Coturnix japonica: one gene and its partners. Each later gene encodes a partner of the first gene's protein in a complex. Links are inferred from orthologs where the notes say so. Each region holds a gene or a part of one and is shown on either strand. Other genes may lie near its edges.

Evidence for each region. The genes of interacting proteins can lie anywhere in the genome.
Region 2: MYBL2 (region 1) and RBL2 share a complex: the UniProt entries of both Homo sapiens proteins name them as parts of the DREAM complex. The link is inferred for Coturnix japonica from reciprocal best matches to the Homo sapiens genes MYBL2 and RBL2.
Region 3: MYBL2 (region 1) and E2F4 share a complex: the UniProt entries of both Homo sapiens proteins name them as parts of the DREAM complex. The link is inferred for Coturnix japonica from reciprocal best matches to the Homo sapiens genes MYBL2 and E2F4.

What each region holds. Positions count from the first base shown.
Region 1 is NC_029535.1:3,104,659-3,109,398, forward strand, and holds the start of MYBL2 (myb-related protein B), read right to left. Parts: upstream 3,081-4,740; 5' UTR 2,970-3,080; coding exon 2,950-2,969; intron 2,483-2,949; coding exon 2,389-2,482; intron 1,288-2,388; coding exon 1,216-1,287; intron 827-1,215; coding exon 734-826; intron 1-733. Other genes in the region: uncharacterized protein LOC107322882, read left to right, coding at 3,939-4,604. UniProt on the Homo sapiens protein: Transcription factor involved in the regulation of cell survival, proliferation, and differentiation. Transactivates the expression of the CLU gene.
Region 2 is NC_029526.1:4,022,566-4,027,472, reverse strand, and holds the start of RBL2 (retinoblastoma-like protein 2), read left to right. Parts: upstream 1-1,627; coding exon 1,628-1,822; intron 1,823-2,455; coding exon 2,456-2,586; intron 2,587-2,972; coding exon 2,973-3,173; intron 3,174-4,083; coding exon 4,084-4,148; intron 4,149-4,907. UniProt on the Homo sapiens protein: Key regulator of entry into cell division. Directly involved in heterochromatin formation by maintaining overall chromatin structure and, in particular, that of constitutive heterochromatin by stabilizing histone methylation.
Region 3 is NC_029526.1:1,551,674-1,556,507, reverse strand, and holds the start of E2F4 (transcription factor E2F4), read left to right. Parts: upstream 1-1,554; 5' UTR 1,555-1,601; coding exon 1,602-1,757; intron 1,758-2,800; coding exon 2,801-2,910; intron 2,911-3,330; coding exon 3,331-3,492; intron 3,493-3,757; coding exon 3,758-3,801; intron 3,802-4,834. Other genes in the region: EXOC3L1 (exocyst complex component 3-like protein), read right to left, coding at 758-800. UniProt on the Homo sapiens protein: Transcription activator that binds DNA cooperatively with DP proteins through the E2 recognition site, 5'-TTTC[CG]CGC-3' found in the promoter region of a number of genes whose products are involved in cell cycle regulation or in DNA replication.

The sequences.
Region 1 (4,740 bases):
TACAGCCCCTGGTGAGGACACAACCTGCAGTTTCATGCCCCACTAATGCCACAACACGTGGTGCAAGCACAAAGCAAAAATGAGCAAAATTCACTTAAAAGCCATCTGCTTGGCAATTTCCTCTTCGCCTAGGGCCTTTACATGTTGGCCTAAAGCTCAGTGCAAATGCTTCCAGGTAGGGAATCTTTTCTGGCTGGCCTGAAATAAATCCATGCAACAAAGCAATGTAACATAACATGCTGCTCGCAGTGTTTATCCTGCCAATATCTCAGAGAGGAGGCCAGATGACTCCAAAAGAGCACTTTTACCCTCTCCAGCAGTGCTTAGCTGAAAGGTGCAGGTAGCAGGTGCACCACAGATCTTGCTCACAGGGTCCATAACTAACACTCCTATTGCAGACTGACTGCCTAGGGCAGACAAATGGGCCACAGATACCCACGTTCAAGGATCTGGATTGTTTGCAGTGCAAAACTATCCAGCTTCAAAAAGCTGGAGTCTGGCTTGGCCATGATGGCAGTGGGCATCAGGACTAGGTTGGCTGGCAGAACAGGACATAAAGAGGGGAAAATAGGCAGCAACTGCTCTGCTGTAAGAAGGTAGAAGGGCATTGTTATAAGCTTCCTCAGGAAGTGTTTGATGTAACACAGATAGAAAGCTGTCTAGGTCTGACACCTCCACTTTGTTGACAGAGAGTCAAAGTCCAACGCTCAGACCCTGTCCTTGCCTGACTTACCTTTTGGTCCTCCTCTTTGGTCCAAGGGCCCTTAACCAAGTCTGGATTCAACACCCTCAGCCACCGGTACTGACACTGCTGGTCACTGCGGTTCTGGGGAAAGGAATCAGAGCAGATATACATTAGACTGGAGGCTCCAAAAACCCCTGTAGAAACACAGCAGTCCTCACACACACAGTCTGCAACATGGAAAAACTACAGATGCACAGAGAATGCATGCTATGGATATAGTACAGGGTACTGGGTATAGATACAAGGACAGGAACCCCAATGTCTCACTCCAGCTCCCAATAAACTCACACCCTCTAAGCAAGAAGGATGTGTCATCCTGCCCTAGAGGAACACTAAATTTGTTCAACAGTAGCAGCCACAGAACAAAGTGCCATCATACAAGGTGTTGCATGGAGACAGCCAGTGCCCTGAGCACAAGAAACAGCATGCAAACAACACTACAATTCCCAACCAGGCAAAGGGGCACTTACAGGAAAGTGACTGGCCAGGAACTTCCAGTCATTCTGTCCATAATGTCTTACTAACATCTTCAGCTGCTCATCCTGCAAGGAACAAAGACATCCACTTTCACATACACTGAGCAAAATATGTCACAGTCATCACTCTGAAAGCAACAACATCAAGATATGTTAGATATTCAGATATTTATTAATCGTTGAGCTTTTTATGTCTGCATTACAAGGAAGAGGATACTTAAGTTCTTTATCAGTGTCCCAGTGCACAGAAGCCAGTGGGAACACATTTGGCTCAGAGCTCTGTACTAGGGCAAGTTCCTGGTGTGTGCATGATGAGAGCAGAGTACAATACAAACCCAGTTGCTGTGGTCACATACAGGCCCACACTGAGTTTAGTTCAAACTATGCAGCCAGAGCTACCTGCTTATCCAGCCCCAGTATGTCCCTGACCAGGCAGCCTATCTCCCAGCTCTCATACTGCCTTTGCCTGGCCAAAGAGACCAACTGTTTTAAGTACATCACCACTAACCAGGCAGCCCGCTGCCTTTCTACACTGATAGTTCTACAGCACTTCTCTCACAAACCCTACACTACAGGGCTTCCTTGCCTGAGGGCAAGGAAATGAAAGATCTTGTGGGTGGGCAAACAAAGGTAAGAAACAACTCCCTGCCCAACACAAGCCCAAGATTTTGATCTCTGCCCAAAGGCCACTCTTACTCCATATTCAGAGCTCAAGGAAAATGAAATGTTTTGTAGTTTTTCACAAAATAAAAAGACTATGAAGGGACCAGAAGAAATGCAGAAAAAACGCCAACTCATTTCAGGCTCTTTGCCACAATCCTAAAGGTCCCAGCCCTGTCCACATTGACTTCAGAAGAGGGCATGTGCACTGCATGAATCAGCTCCAGGCCTCTGCCACCCTCTAGCAACTGCTGCAGGCAGCTGATAGCTTGCTGTAGGCCCAGGTGCTGAAGTAGTCAGAGCTCTTTGCTCCCCAGGCTTCAAACTCACCTGACCTTCCTCTCATCAAGGCCTCAGCAAAACAGACAAAGGGCCTTCCCCAGCAATGAGACACTGTGAGTGGGTGTTGTGGCAGCAGGCAAGGAGCAGGATAAGGTGCTCACACTGAAGGCCTACCCAAACTCTACCAATAGCCCTATGAGCAGTGGCTGCCCGGCCCTCACTCACCTCCTCCTGCGTCCACTTGACCTTGCACCTGCCATCCCGCTGCTCGGGCACATCCGAGTCGGTGTCCTGGCAGTGTAGCTCATCCTGATCCTCACTGCAGAGCAACAAGCAGAGCGTTATTGCCTCCCCTGGGCAAAGCACAGCACTCCCCCCACACACCCGGCCTGCAGGGCCCTGACCTCCAGGACCCCTCTGCGTGCGGGTCAACCCCACATTAACACAGAGAAAGGACAATCCTTCGGTTCCAGCCCATCAGTGAGGGCTCCGTGAGCCCAGGCCCCGCTCCATCCCCCTCCATACAGCTCCCCAGCCCTATTCGTTACTGCTGGGGTACAGAGGGCACCAAAGCAGCGCACAGCGAGGCTCCCACAGGGCCGGGACCGCTCTCAGCCACCGGGCCCAGCCTGAAGGCATCACGAAGAGGCGGGCGGCGGGCCAGGCTCTGCTACCCCATCCATCCACACCGCTCAGGGACACCGAAACCGCAAGACCCCATAGACCACAGCCTCCCCCCCATTGAGAAGACACGGAACCATCCGCACCCCGGGGGGCTCCACTCACCCTCGGTTGCGGCGCGCCATGGCGGCGGGGCCGGGCGGCGGCGGCGGCACTTTCCTATCTCGCGCCAACGGCTGCCCCCCACCCCGCGCGGGGCCGGGCCGCGCATGCGCACTAAGTCAGCACCGCACAAAGACGCGCGCGCGGGAGGGCGCCCTCCCGCCTGAGTGCGGCCACCACAGAGCGGGACAGCACCAGAATGAGCCTCCACCGCCTTAATGCCGGACTAACAGAATTAACCCAACTAACTTGCAGCCCTCCCCCCTCCCAAGTGATTTTAATGAGAGAATTAGCCCGTTAATTAATCCCCAGCACTATAAAAGCGCTCCGAGCAGCGCTAGTTAAAGGAAGGGCTGCGATCCTGAAAGAAGCCTCTGTAGGAGCTAAAGGCAAGTAGTGCTCGTCTTATTGCCTAGGTTTTTCTCTGTTTAGATGCTATTTAAGGTTTCATTTAAGGATGTTTCCCTTTGGGATGATCATATAACTGTCCTAAGTAACCTAGGGAGCTTTCTGCTGTGACTCTTGACGCTCCAATGTGATGTGATATAGATATTATGTTATTTAGGTATGATGTAATTTAGGATGCTGTAGTGTCCCCAGGTCACCCTGGTATAGCTATGTTTGTAAGGTCTCTATGCTACCCCTATTGGGATGTAGCCTGGCTCTACCTGGGATAAATGCTCTCCTGACCTCAGGAATGGAGATAAAGCCTTTCTGATGGCCACCTCAGTGTCCCCTGCAGCAGAGATGCTTCGAGGCCCCTCATACACAAAGCTAAGAGCAGTGCTATGTAGGTTGAGTGAGCACAAACCTAGGAGTGCTGCCTTGCCCCGTGCTCAGCAAGGGGCCTGAAAAATCATTCCTTGGTGCTGTGGTTTGGGCCCTGTGTCCTGTTAGGAGATGGGGTGGGGAGGGTGCCCTGCCTGGATCTGAAGGGCTGCCCTTAAACTGCGTGTTCCAACAGGGACTCCTGGTTCCTCCAGCCCTGCGCCATGCCGTCCTCGCAGCAGCACAGCACCCTGACCATTAAGGACCTGCTGGACAATGGATTTGTGGCTGGGGCCTCTGGACATACCCACTTCTCTCCTGTGTACAGCTACTACCTGGACTCCAGTAGTGCCCCAAAGCAGAGTACCTGGGAGCTGCTGGCAGATGTGGACACCACGAGGGGCAGCCCTGTGTGTATGGTGGCACAGCCCATGGGCAGTGGAGTGAGGGCTGGCCTGGGCTCCTCGGACCTCAGCTTCCTCTCCTTCTGCAGGAGCCCTTCCAGCCCTGCCATCCTCAACCTGTCAGCTGTGCCCTGTGAGCTGCCTGCAGGGCCCGGCTCCTTGCTGGATGTAACATCAAGGAACACCTCCACACCGTGCAAAGCTGGGAAGCGCCTCAAAGAGAGAGCGCTGTCCCATAGCACGGAGCTGCTGAGTGACCTGCTGTCCCCTGGGAAGCCCCCAGCATCCAGGTGGGAGATCTCAGACATCAAGCCCCCTCTGGATGCCAGCCTGCCCCTCGATGTGAGCTTGCTGGGGTGCTCCAAGCTGGACACGTCGCTGCTGGGCACCCCTGTGGTGCTCCCTTTATGCTGGCCCAGGAGGGACGTGGCTCTGCTCCCTGAGGCCCAGCTGGGTGATATGGAGCCTGGCTCTCAGGCCCCGTGATGACTCTCAGCGCTGACTGTGGTGTCTCCGATCACCTCCATGCCAAAGAACAGAGTGCTCTCAGCTTTGTGGCCGTGCTGCTGTTGGGTAACACGGTGAAATCTTTCTCTTCAGCGGGAGGTGACTGCGGTGAGAA
Region 2 (4,907 bases), on another chromosome or scaffold:
TGTGTCCCTTTACAATTTCTTCTTTTCTCAGATCTATGTGATGAAAATGCACGTATGTATATGTGCCTTGTATTTGTGTTCTCCTTAAAGCCCTGCAGAACCCCTAACTATATACATATTTATATATGTATATTATTCATATATATATTCATTTGTTTTTAGCAGGTCTATTAGAGAGCTGTCACAAATTTAACCATATATGTAGATGTATGTGTGTGTGTATGTATGTATATACATATATATATACACACACACACACACATATATATATATATACTTACCTGTGTGTGTATATATCTGTAAGTATTCATGCAGAAGCAGCCACCCTAACTGATACTTGTGTGTTTGCTTCATCAGCTTCTTGGGGCTTGTGCAGCTTTTCTCCTATGGTACAAGTAGGAAGTTTCCGCTTAAGCCTTCAAAAAGGAAGAGAATCTGTTCAATTTCTGTTTGCTTAATTAGATCAAATTTGTGAGTAATAGATGGGATCTACTTAATGAAGAGACTATTTACATCAAGGAAAGGTGCTGAAACGTATTAGAACTTAGTGGTGTCAGTAAACTGCATTTATTACTGCTGGAATTGCAGCCTGCTGGAAGGAATGAGCGGTGTTTGATTATTTTAACTCAGTATTTTAAGAACACTTTACACGTTAGGTATCCTCATGTAAGGGGTAACTTACCTAATGTTCACTTTTCTTTAAGAACAAGCCAAAAACCTCTGCTTAACATTAACTGTAACATTTCTGTTCACAAAGGAGCGAGAGCGCTTTCAAATAAGGCCAATGAAAGCTATTGATGTTTTCTTAACCCACCTCCCTTCAGGCTCTCTCAGTTGATACCACAAGAAGGAAAGAACGTTCTGAATTCTCCCTGCTGTTTCAGGTAAGGACTCTTGTGGCATTTCCTCATGTGAGGGAGATGTTAATGATGTTAGTGTCGGTTAGTGCTGGTACTGGTGGAAAACATTTCATATCACAGCTTGGCCTTAAGCTTATTTCAGTTCTTAAAGCAACTCTGGAGCTGGTAACTGTTGTCATCTCCTGCTTTATCCTGTTCCATCTGTGTTGTGCTACAAGTGAAGCAGGTGGGCTGACATCAGCAGTACCAGGAGGACACGGGCTGTGTTCCGTGCTGCGTTCTGTGCTGTTGTTTCTCTCACACAGCGATACCTGTGGTTGTACCATCTCTTGCTGTGCTGGCACAGTTCTCCTTGTACCTGAGCCTTATTTGGGAGCCCACCTCATTTCTGAGGAGCTGAAGACCATCATTCACCCCTTAGTGAACATAACTGGGACTTACTGAGGCCCACACAGTTAAGGTTGTGCTTTTACCACAGTTGTTTTGCCTCAATTCACTACGTTTCTTAACATTTTGATACAAAACCGTAGTTTCTTATCCAGAAACAAAGCGGAATCCTGTGGTGCCACTCGGGCCCGCGTTCCCCCCATCCCCGCCCGTTGCACCCTGGGATGGCAGGCGGCGCCGTCGCGTTGTTATGTCGTTATCGGGCGGGGCGGGGCTGAGCGCCGGGGCGTTGGGATTCGAACTCGCGTCTTCAGCCCCAGGGGCGGCCGCGCAGGCGCAGTGAGAAGCGAGAGCGCTGCCCCCTAGCGACGGGGCGAGGCATGGCGGGAGGGGAGGAGGCCGAGAGCGAAGCGGGGCCCGGCGGGGGGATCCCCACAGCACCGTCACCGCCGGCGGAGGAAGGAGAAACGAGGCAGCGCTACGAGGAGCTCTGCAGCAGCCTCAACATGGACGAGCGAGCCCGCTCCGAGGCCTGGATCAGCTACCAGAGCATGAAGCGCAACTACACGCTGGAGGTGCGAGGGGGGCGGCCTGCGGGGTCTGAGTGTGTGTGTCTGTATGTATGTATGTATGTATATATGTGTGTGTGTGTGTAAATGGGGGTAACGGCCTCGTGCCGACACGAGTGGCCGCTGAGGGGCAGCGGGGCGGGATGTTGTGGTTCCTCAGTCTGAGAGTGAGGGTCGGTTGTGCTGGTTGGAATCCACTCGTGTTTGTAGCCCCTGTTGTGTTGTGTTGTGTAAGAGACACAGAACCGTGTTTGTGCCATCCCGCATTTGTGCACAGAAGGACGTTTAGATAAAAAGGAAAGCTGGATGTTGTTTATTTCCTCCTGTTAGTGTCAGATCAGTGCAGAACATCGCTATGAAGGGCAGCGGTGACCCCATGGCCGAGCCGTGCCATGACGTTTCGCACCGCACATCACACGCTGTCACTGCTGCCCTGTTGCTGTCAGCTCTGTATGCCCTATATGCTCTATATGCCCTATATGCTCTATATGCTCTATATGCGGTGCAGCCGTGGGCACTGCACAACAAGGAGGCAGCCCTGGTGGTGTTATTGCCGCAGTCCATTTGTGGCAATGTGCTCCATGTCTCGGTGCCCAGCAGCTCACAGGGGGTTGACATGCATCATGTTCTGCTTCGCAGGGCAACGAGCTGCACTGGTTGGCGTGTGCCCTCTATGTGGCCTGCAGGAAAGCCATCCCCACCGTCAGCAGGGGGACAGTGGAGGGCAATTATGTATCACTGACCCGAATTTTGCGCTGCTCCGAGCAAAGGTAACTCAGTTTAACCAATTTAAAGCACCTTGAGGAACACAGAAATTAAGAACGAAGTCTGGATGTCTTTGTTAGATTTGTTATACATATTTGTTATATAGATTTGTTATATTGAGTTTATACATTGGGGATCTGTGTGCTGTGGCTCACACAGGTAGGGTGGTTGTCTCTGAATTGTCTCAGCTCTTCCTGGTTTGTAAATGAGGAGCTGGCTCTGAACACTTCAAACTATAATCATCGTGTTTGCAGTGCTGCTTTTACAGGTAGCTTGGAAAGTTTTAGTTGTACTTTTGCTGTAAATAAATGTATGTTTATAGCGTGTTTCTGTGAGAATAGGAGCAAACAAAAGCCAACGCTCTGAGCTCTAACCTGTTCAATGTCTTCAGCTTGATTGAGTTCTTTAACAAGATGAAGAAATGGGAAGACATGGCAAACCTGCCCTCCCAGTTCCGAGAAAGGACTGAAAGGCTGGAGAGAAACTTCACTGTTTCTGCAGTGATTTTTAAGAAGTACGAGCCCATTTTTCAGGACATTTTCAGATACCCTCAGGAAGATCAACCCCGTCAGCAGAGAGGAAGGAAACAGAGGTACAGTTCTGTTATGTCCAGACTGATGTTCGGCTGTTGCTGTTACAAGAAGCTGCTTGGTTGTTCTATCTGCATTTTAACTTACTTCCTTAGTGGTTCTTTATGGTACCAGAGTTGGTCTGTTGGCCTTCATTACAGCACATGTACAGTTCTGCAGTTAGTTGAGTGAGCCCTGCTAGTCTGTTTGCATAGCAGAGCAGGAACTCAGTTTGAAGGTTAAGTCAGAATTATCCATTCCAAATTCTTATGTGAAATGTCTAAGCTTTTAACATTTAACACCATTCCTTACATAACCTGGTGGAGTAACCAAAGAAATGAGTGCAGGCTGATAAAACTACTGCAGAAATTGAGAACAACACCTCACTGTGAGTGAATTTGGCCTGAATGAAAGAATTCTCAACTTCAGTATGTGGTAGGGTGGGTACAGGACTCCTGATGGACAGGAGGGCCTCATGGTTAGGACTAGTGGAGGAACCTGGTGCTGGTAAACAGCTGTAGTGCAAAATTCTCCATAGTATGTAAAATTTTATACAGAAACACAAAACACTTCAGCAAAGTGTGTAGGTGAGGTCTGTGAGCAAACAGCTTATAAAACCCAGTGTGCTGTGTGACGTGTGCCTTGCAGGACGTGCACATGTGCTTACATTGCTCACAGTACTTCAGAAGGCATCCCATGTGTGCTGCTTTGTTGGTGATGTTTGAATCGCTGCTGGCTGAGGCTTCAGCTGTGTCTGCTGTGAAGCTCTGAGCAGCTACTGCATTATTTCAGACCAGTTCTTACTTTTGTTATTTTTTGAGGGGGAGGGATACAGTTCAGATTTTAGCTGCTCTGTGGCAAAGCAGCTCTTTGAGAACGATGGGATGTCTGTCCATTGTAAGTCATTGAGCTTCTTGTGTTTTCCCCCCAAAGGCGACAGCCGTGCACAGTGACTGAAGTTTTCCAGTTCTGTTGGGTGCTGTTTGTTCATGCGAAAGGTAAGAGATCTGAAAGGGGCTGAATACCACAAACCCCTTCTTGTTAGTCTGTATCAGTCTGTAACCGTGAGCCAGCTGCAGGCCCTTCAAAGAAAGTGCCTCCTTGGAGCAGTCTGAACGAATGCACCTGAATTCCTGCAGCTGTTTGTTTTCCCAGCTGTCGGAGGTGAGCACTGTGCCCTGCCAGCCTGGTAGCTTTATCTGAAATACTGCTCCAGGGTTTGCTGTATTTTGGCGATTTAGGCTGTAATACTAAAAGAAAATCAGCTCAGAGTTGTAGTGAATTCATATTTTGATAGTTGTAATTAATGTAAATTATTGCTTTATGTTCCCTAGGAACAAAATGATTTTAATTTCCTTATAAGTTTCAAATAACAGTGATAATACATAATGGATTCTGTTCTGTAACACAGAACTGTGTCATGAGGCTGTAGCTGAGGGGACTTTCGAGGCACTCTCACAGGTAGCACTTGGATTTGTTCACCTAAGTGCCTGGCTGGAAGACTCAGATTCCCTTGGATCATACATGTGAAATGCTCTGTTAACAGGCTTCCCTGGAAACAAAGCAGGGAGGAGCCGGTATATTGCCGTGCAAGTATTGCCTTTATTGTAAGAGCACCCTTAAAGCTGATATGAATAGCAGAGGATTTCAGTCATTTTTCTTCTTTAATGACTGATTGGAGAAAAAGACAGAAGGGAATGGAAGTAAATCCTTTTGTATGAGGGGCAGTGAAGCTCCCCAGCATTTTTGGCTTAAGT
Region 3 (4,834 bases), on another chromosome or scaffold:
CCTTAAGGGGCAGGAAAGGCCCCTGAGGCCAGAAACAGGAAACCATTGGGAGCGGATGTTCAAGCACACCCAGATGTGGGAAACTGGACAGCAGGGCAGCAAGGAGACATCCTGGGAGGGCTCCCTGACACCCCATTACCACGGATGGGGCCATGCAGTGAACAGGCTGCCCCGAGGAGCTGTTATCCAACCCACCAGCTCAGGGTGCCAACCTGAGGTGACCCAGCACGACAAGGACACGTTGCCCACGGGGGTCTCGTGCCACCTGGGAAGGCAGCGAGTCAGAAGGTGGCACAAAGAGCTGCTGGTCCGTGTGCCACTCCTGGAGGCTCTGCCTGAGGGAGCCACGCTGGTACAAGCACACCCAGGCTCCTGGACTCCTTGGTGTCCCAATGGGCTGCATGGGGCTGTCTTCAGAGTCCAAATAGAAGTGTCCAAAGCCAAGCCAAGGGCTGAGGGCTGAGACACAGCTCATCTTCAGGGCTCATTGTTTCCCCCCTTCCGAGAACTGGGGCTCCCTGCACCCCCCCGGGAGATGCCACCTTGCCCCCACCTGAGCTCCCCCACAAGGACACCGCTCGGGCTCGGGGCTCCCAAAGAAGAGCAGCGCATCCCTGGAAGGCGGGGAGCTCAGAGGGAAGGGCTGCAGCGTGGGGAGACGGTGGCAAAGCAGGAGATGGGGGAGCGTGAGCAGCACGGAGCGGCAGCCCTCCTCCCCTGCCCGGCACCGCGGGGGCTGCAGCATCGTCCCCGTTACCTGTAGGGCTCGCGCAGCGCTCGTCCTTCGCCGACATGCCCATGGTCTCAACGCCGCTGTGCACATACGAGCGGGGCTGGGCCGAACGGAGGAAGCCGACGGTCGTTTCCTCCGGCACACGGCGATCCTCAGGGGCTCATTGTGTTCCCGAGGACGCGCTCAGGATGTCGGGGCCGGAGGGGGAGCAGGGGAAGGAGGAAGGACATAAAGAGCGGCCACTCGGTGCGGGGCTCCCTATGGGGCAGGGTGACCATGGGTGCCCCCCATGACTGCTGGGTGCCCCCTATTGCCGCTGAGTGCCCCCTATGGCTGCTGAGTGCCCCCCATGGCCGCTGGGTGCCCCCCATGGCCGCTGGGTGCCCCCTATGGCGTTGGGTGCCCCCTATGGCCGCTGGGTGCCCCGGGGCTCTGCTACGTGCAGGATCTGAGCTGCCCTGTCGCTTTGTCTGAGCTGTGGGCACCCCGTTGGATGCCCAGCGGGGGTTCGGTGCGTTCATTCATTACGGGAAGGGGGCGGTGATGGCTCGCAATGCTCGGGGACACGGGTTGGCCATGAATGCTTTGGTTAACGGGGAATGGGATATCCCGGGGCCGCCGGGTAACCTCCATAGGGTTACGATGAGGCAATAGGGCATTGCCCGTCCAGAGCAGCGGTGGGCTCGGGCTCGGGCTCAGCCCCGCAGCCCTGTGAGCAGCCCACCATGGGGCTGGGACCCCCGGCCCCGACCCCCGCCCGTCCTCGCCCCCCCACGTGGTTTCCACGCCCGCCCCACAACGGAAGCTCCCGTCATACCCCCCGAATCGGAAGCGGAAGCGCGGCGGGCCTGGAGCCGGCGGCGGGCAGATGGCGGAGAGCGGGCAGCAACCGGCCGGGGCTGCGGGAGGAGGGAGCGGGGGAGCCGGGGCGCCCAGCCGGCACGAGAAGAGCCTGGGGCTGCTCACCACCAAGTTCGTGTCGCTGCTGCAGGAGGCCAAGGACGGAGTGCTGGACCTGAAGCTGGTGCGGGGCCCGTGGGAGGATGGGGAGGCCCGGCCGGGGGCATCGATGTGTGAGGGGGGGGAGCGTGGGGACGGCGGGTCGAACGATATGGCTGCTCTGCTGCTGCTGTACGGCCTGCACGCTGTGCCCCTCCGTGCCCCTCTGCTTGTGCGACCCTCCAGTTCTGTTCCCATCAGACAGAGCAGCACTCTGCTCCATGCCCTGCAAGCAGAATGAAGGCAGCCCTGGGTTATGAAGCTGTGCTGGAAGTACAAGGCTGGGGTGGTCCCCTGGCTATGCTGTCCTCTCCTATGGCAAACTGCTGTCTACTTGGATTAGGGCAGAAGGACGATGTTCCCTAAGCTGTCAGTTCAATGGGGGTTATGTTTGTTAGTGTGGTTTGTGCGTGGTCACTGAAGTCCTGCAGTGTGAGAGGGGCAAGTCATTTGTGCATTGCCCTCTGTGTGACACCACTGTGTGACTGGCAGCAGTTAAAGTCTTGTTACTTCTGCATTGCCGTCTGGTTGGTGAAGCAATATCGGTGCCTCCTGAATGTGAGGGGAGGGTCCTTCAAAGGGTCAGGATCATGGGATCATTGGGGTTGGAGGGGGCTGCTGGAGTTTATGCAGCCCAGCCCCATTGCTGAAGCAAGTCCCTGGATTAGAATGCACAGGAAAGCATCCAGGTGGGTTCTGATACCTACAGAGAAGGAAACAGCACAGCCTGTTCCAGTGCTCTGTCCTCCCTGTATCCATTTCCAGAGGACTCATGACCTCGTGTCCATTCTCTATCAGCTGGCATCAGGTTTTAGGTATAAAAAACCTTTTGAGTGTCAGCTTTGCTGAACTGCTGTCGTTCAGGCAGCCCTCTACCTTCAGATTCTCATCTCTCTTTACACTCGAGAAGCACTGAATGTTTAGGCTGCCAGGCTTGTAGCCCTGCCCTGCTGCTGAGGAGCTGTATGGGATGGTGAGCAGATAGATTGGTCAGAAGTTAATCTGATAGGCAGGAAGGAGAGAAGCATGACTGAGAGTTCGGAGTTAAGTGTCTGACTTCTATTGCAGGCTGCAGACACCTTGGCTGTGCGACAGAAACGACGGATCTATGATATCACGAATGTTCTGGAAGGGATTGGGCTGATTGAGAAGAAATCAAAGAACAGCATCCAATGGAAGTGAGTGATGGAGTTGAAGTCATTCATGGGTCCCTTCTAATCCAAGGTCTTGTCTTCTGGGTGCCTTTCTGCTGGTTTATCAGTGGCCTGTGCTGAGCTGTGCTGATGGTAGTAATGAGGAATGTTAAAGTATGTATGGCACATTGCTTTTATAGCAGAGCTCGTATTTTGGTGCAAACTATTTCCATGTCTCGAGTTAGAAAAGACACCTTTCATGGTGCTGGAGGTGGGGGATGGAGGAGGATGCACTGCATGGTGCTGTGCTGGAAGATGGTGTGAGGCTGCAGGGCGGGTACAGGTGAGATTCTCTGGCCTTGATGTGTGATAAAGGGGGAAGGAAGGAAGGTGGCAGCTCTCAAAAGCCGGGTGTTTTGGTTGCTCTGTTAGCTGATGCATGTCACTGCTGTTTGCTCTGTGCAGAGGGGTGGGTCCTGGCTGCAACACGCGTGAGATTGCTCACAAACTCATCGAGCTGAAGGCAGACATAGAGGACCTGGAGCAGCAGGAACAGGAGCTGGAGAAGCAGAAGATGTGGGTTCAGCAGAGCATCAAAAACGTCACAGAAGACGTGCAGAACAACTGATATCCTTTTGTCAGCCGGCCGTTCCTCAGGGCTGAAAGGCAGGAGCTGGGGCTGGGCTGGCAGTGCTCTGCTGGGGGCACCTCATGTTGCTGCTCTGAAAGGATAAGGAGGTCATCCCCCCCTTGGAAGCAGATGAGCACTGCCCAGTATAGACAATAGCTTCCTTTGCAGCGTTTCTTGTGCTCAGAAAGGAAGGAAACTCCAGGTGCCCTTTGAGTTCCGTCTTCGCAGGAAACTGCAGCTGTTGTCCTTAACCTTCCAAACGCTAGCTTATGTGACACACGAAGATATCTGCAAGTGCTTCACAGGTGAGGAAATGGTGCTGCATCATAGAGATATAATGCTGCAGTCCTGTCAGCCTATGCCAGCTGCTTTCCTTTCTCTAGGAAAGAGGAGGCAGCACATCTTGACTTAGGGCTGAGCATGGGCTGCCCTCAGCTGCATCATGCCTTGTACCAGGAGGAGAGCAAAGAGGAGGGAGTGAAGAGCAGGACAGAAGGGAATGTGCTTCTTGTTGTGACTTCACATCCTTGAGGGGCAAAAGTGGCAAAAAAGCTGCAGGAGTCTGTTTCCTCTCTGTTGGCAATTGCACTGATAGCTGCAGGGCCAGAAATACCCCAGTGCAGTTTGGCAGCCTTCTCAGCTGTAGCAGCGTGGATTCAGAGCTGCTTTCTGCTTCAGTGAATGCCTGCCCTCTCCTGACCCTCTGCAACCTACATCTGCTTGCTTGCCTCAGAGAGTTCAATGGGGAAGCTGCTTATCCTGCCCACCCCAGCTGTGCATAATCTCACCCTCATCTGACTGCTCACCTCTTCCAAGCTGTCTCATCATCAGCTCTTCCGTTTCTCATCTTTCCTTTCTTGCACTGTCCTCCTTGTTCACCAGACTTTATCCTGCTTGAGTTCCTGCTTTACTGTTTCTTCTGGTTTAAGGTCAGGCTTCTTGGGGACGGGGGTTGTGTTTTCAGTTTGACAGTGCTTGGGGCCAGATAGTTTGTAACAGCCTGTGGGAGCTTCCTGGAGACCAGCAGACAGATTATTGCTTGGTTCATTGAGCAGTTTGCATTTTATTGCACCTGTTTTTCTTCCTAAAAGAGTTTGCTTCTGAACTCAGACCACACCAAAAACCTTAGTTGTTAGTGACCAAAAGGAAGTGGAAACACACTGTGCACCGACTGTCTTGTGAAAACATTTGGGACTCAGCTATCAAGAGAGATAGAAAGGCAGTGCCTGTGATGTTGAGGCCGTTGGGTCTTTAAGTTTAAGCTTTCTTTGGGCTTTATTATGCCTTTTTAACATCATTTAACAATATTTTCCTTAAGTGTAGATTTGTTAAAGGACT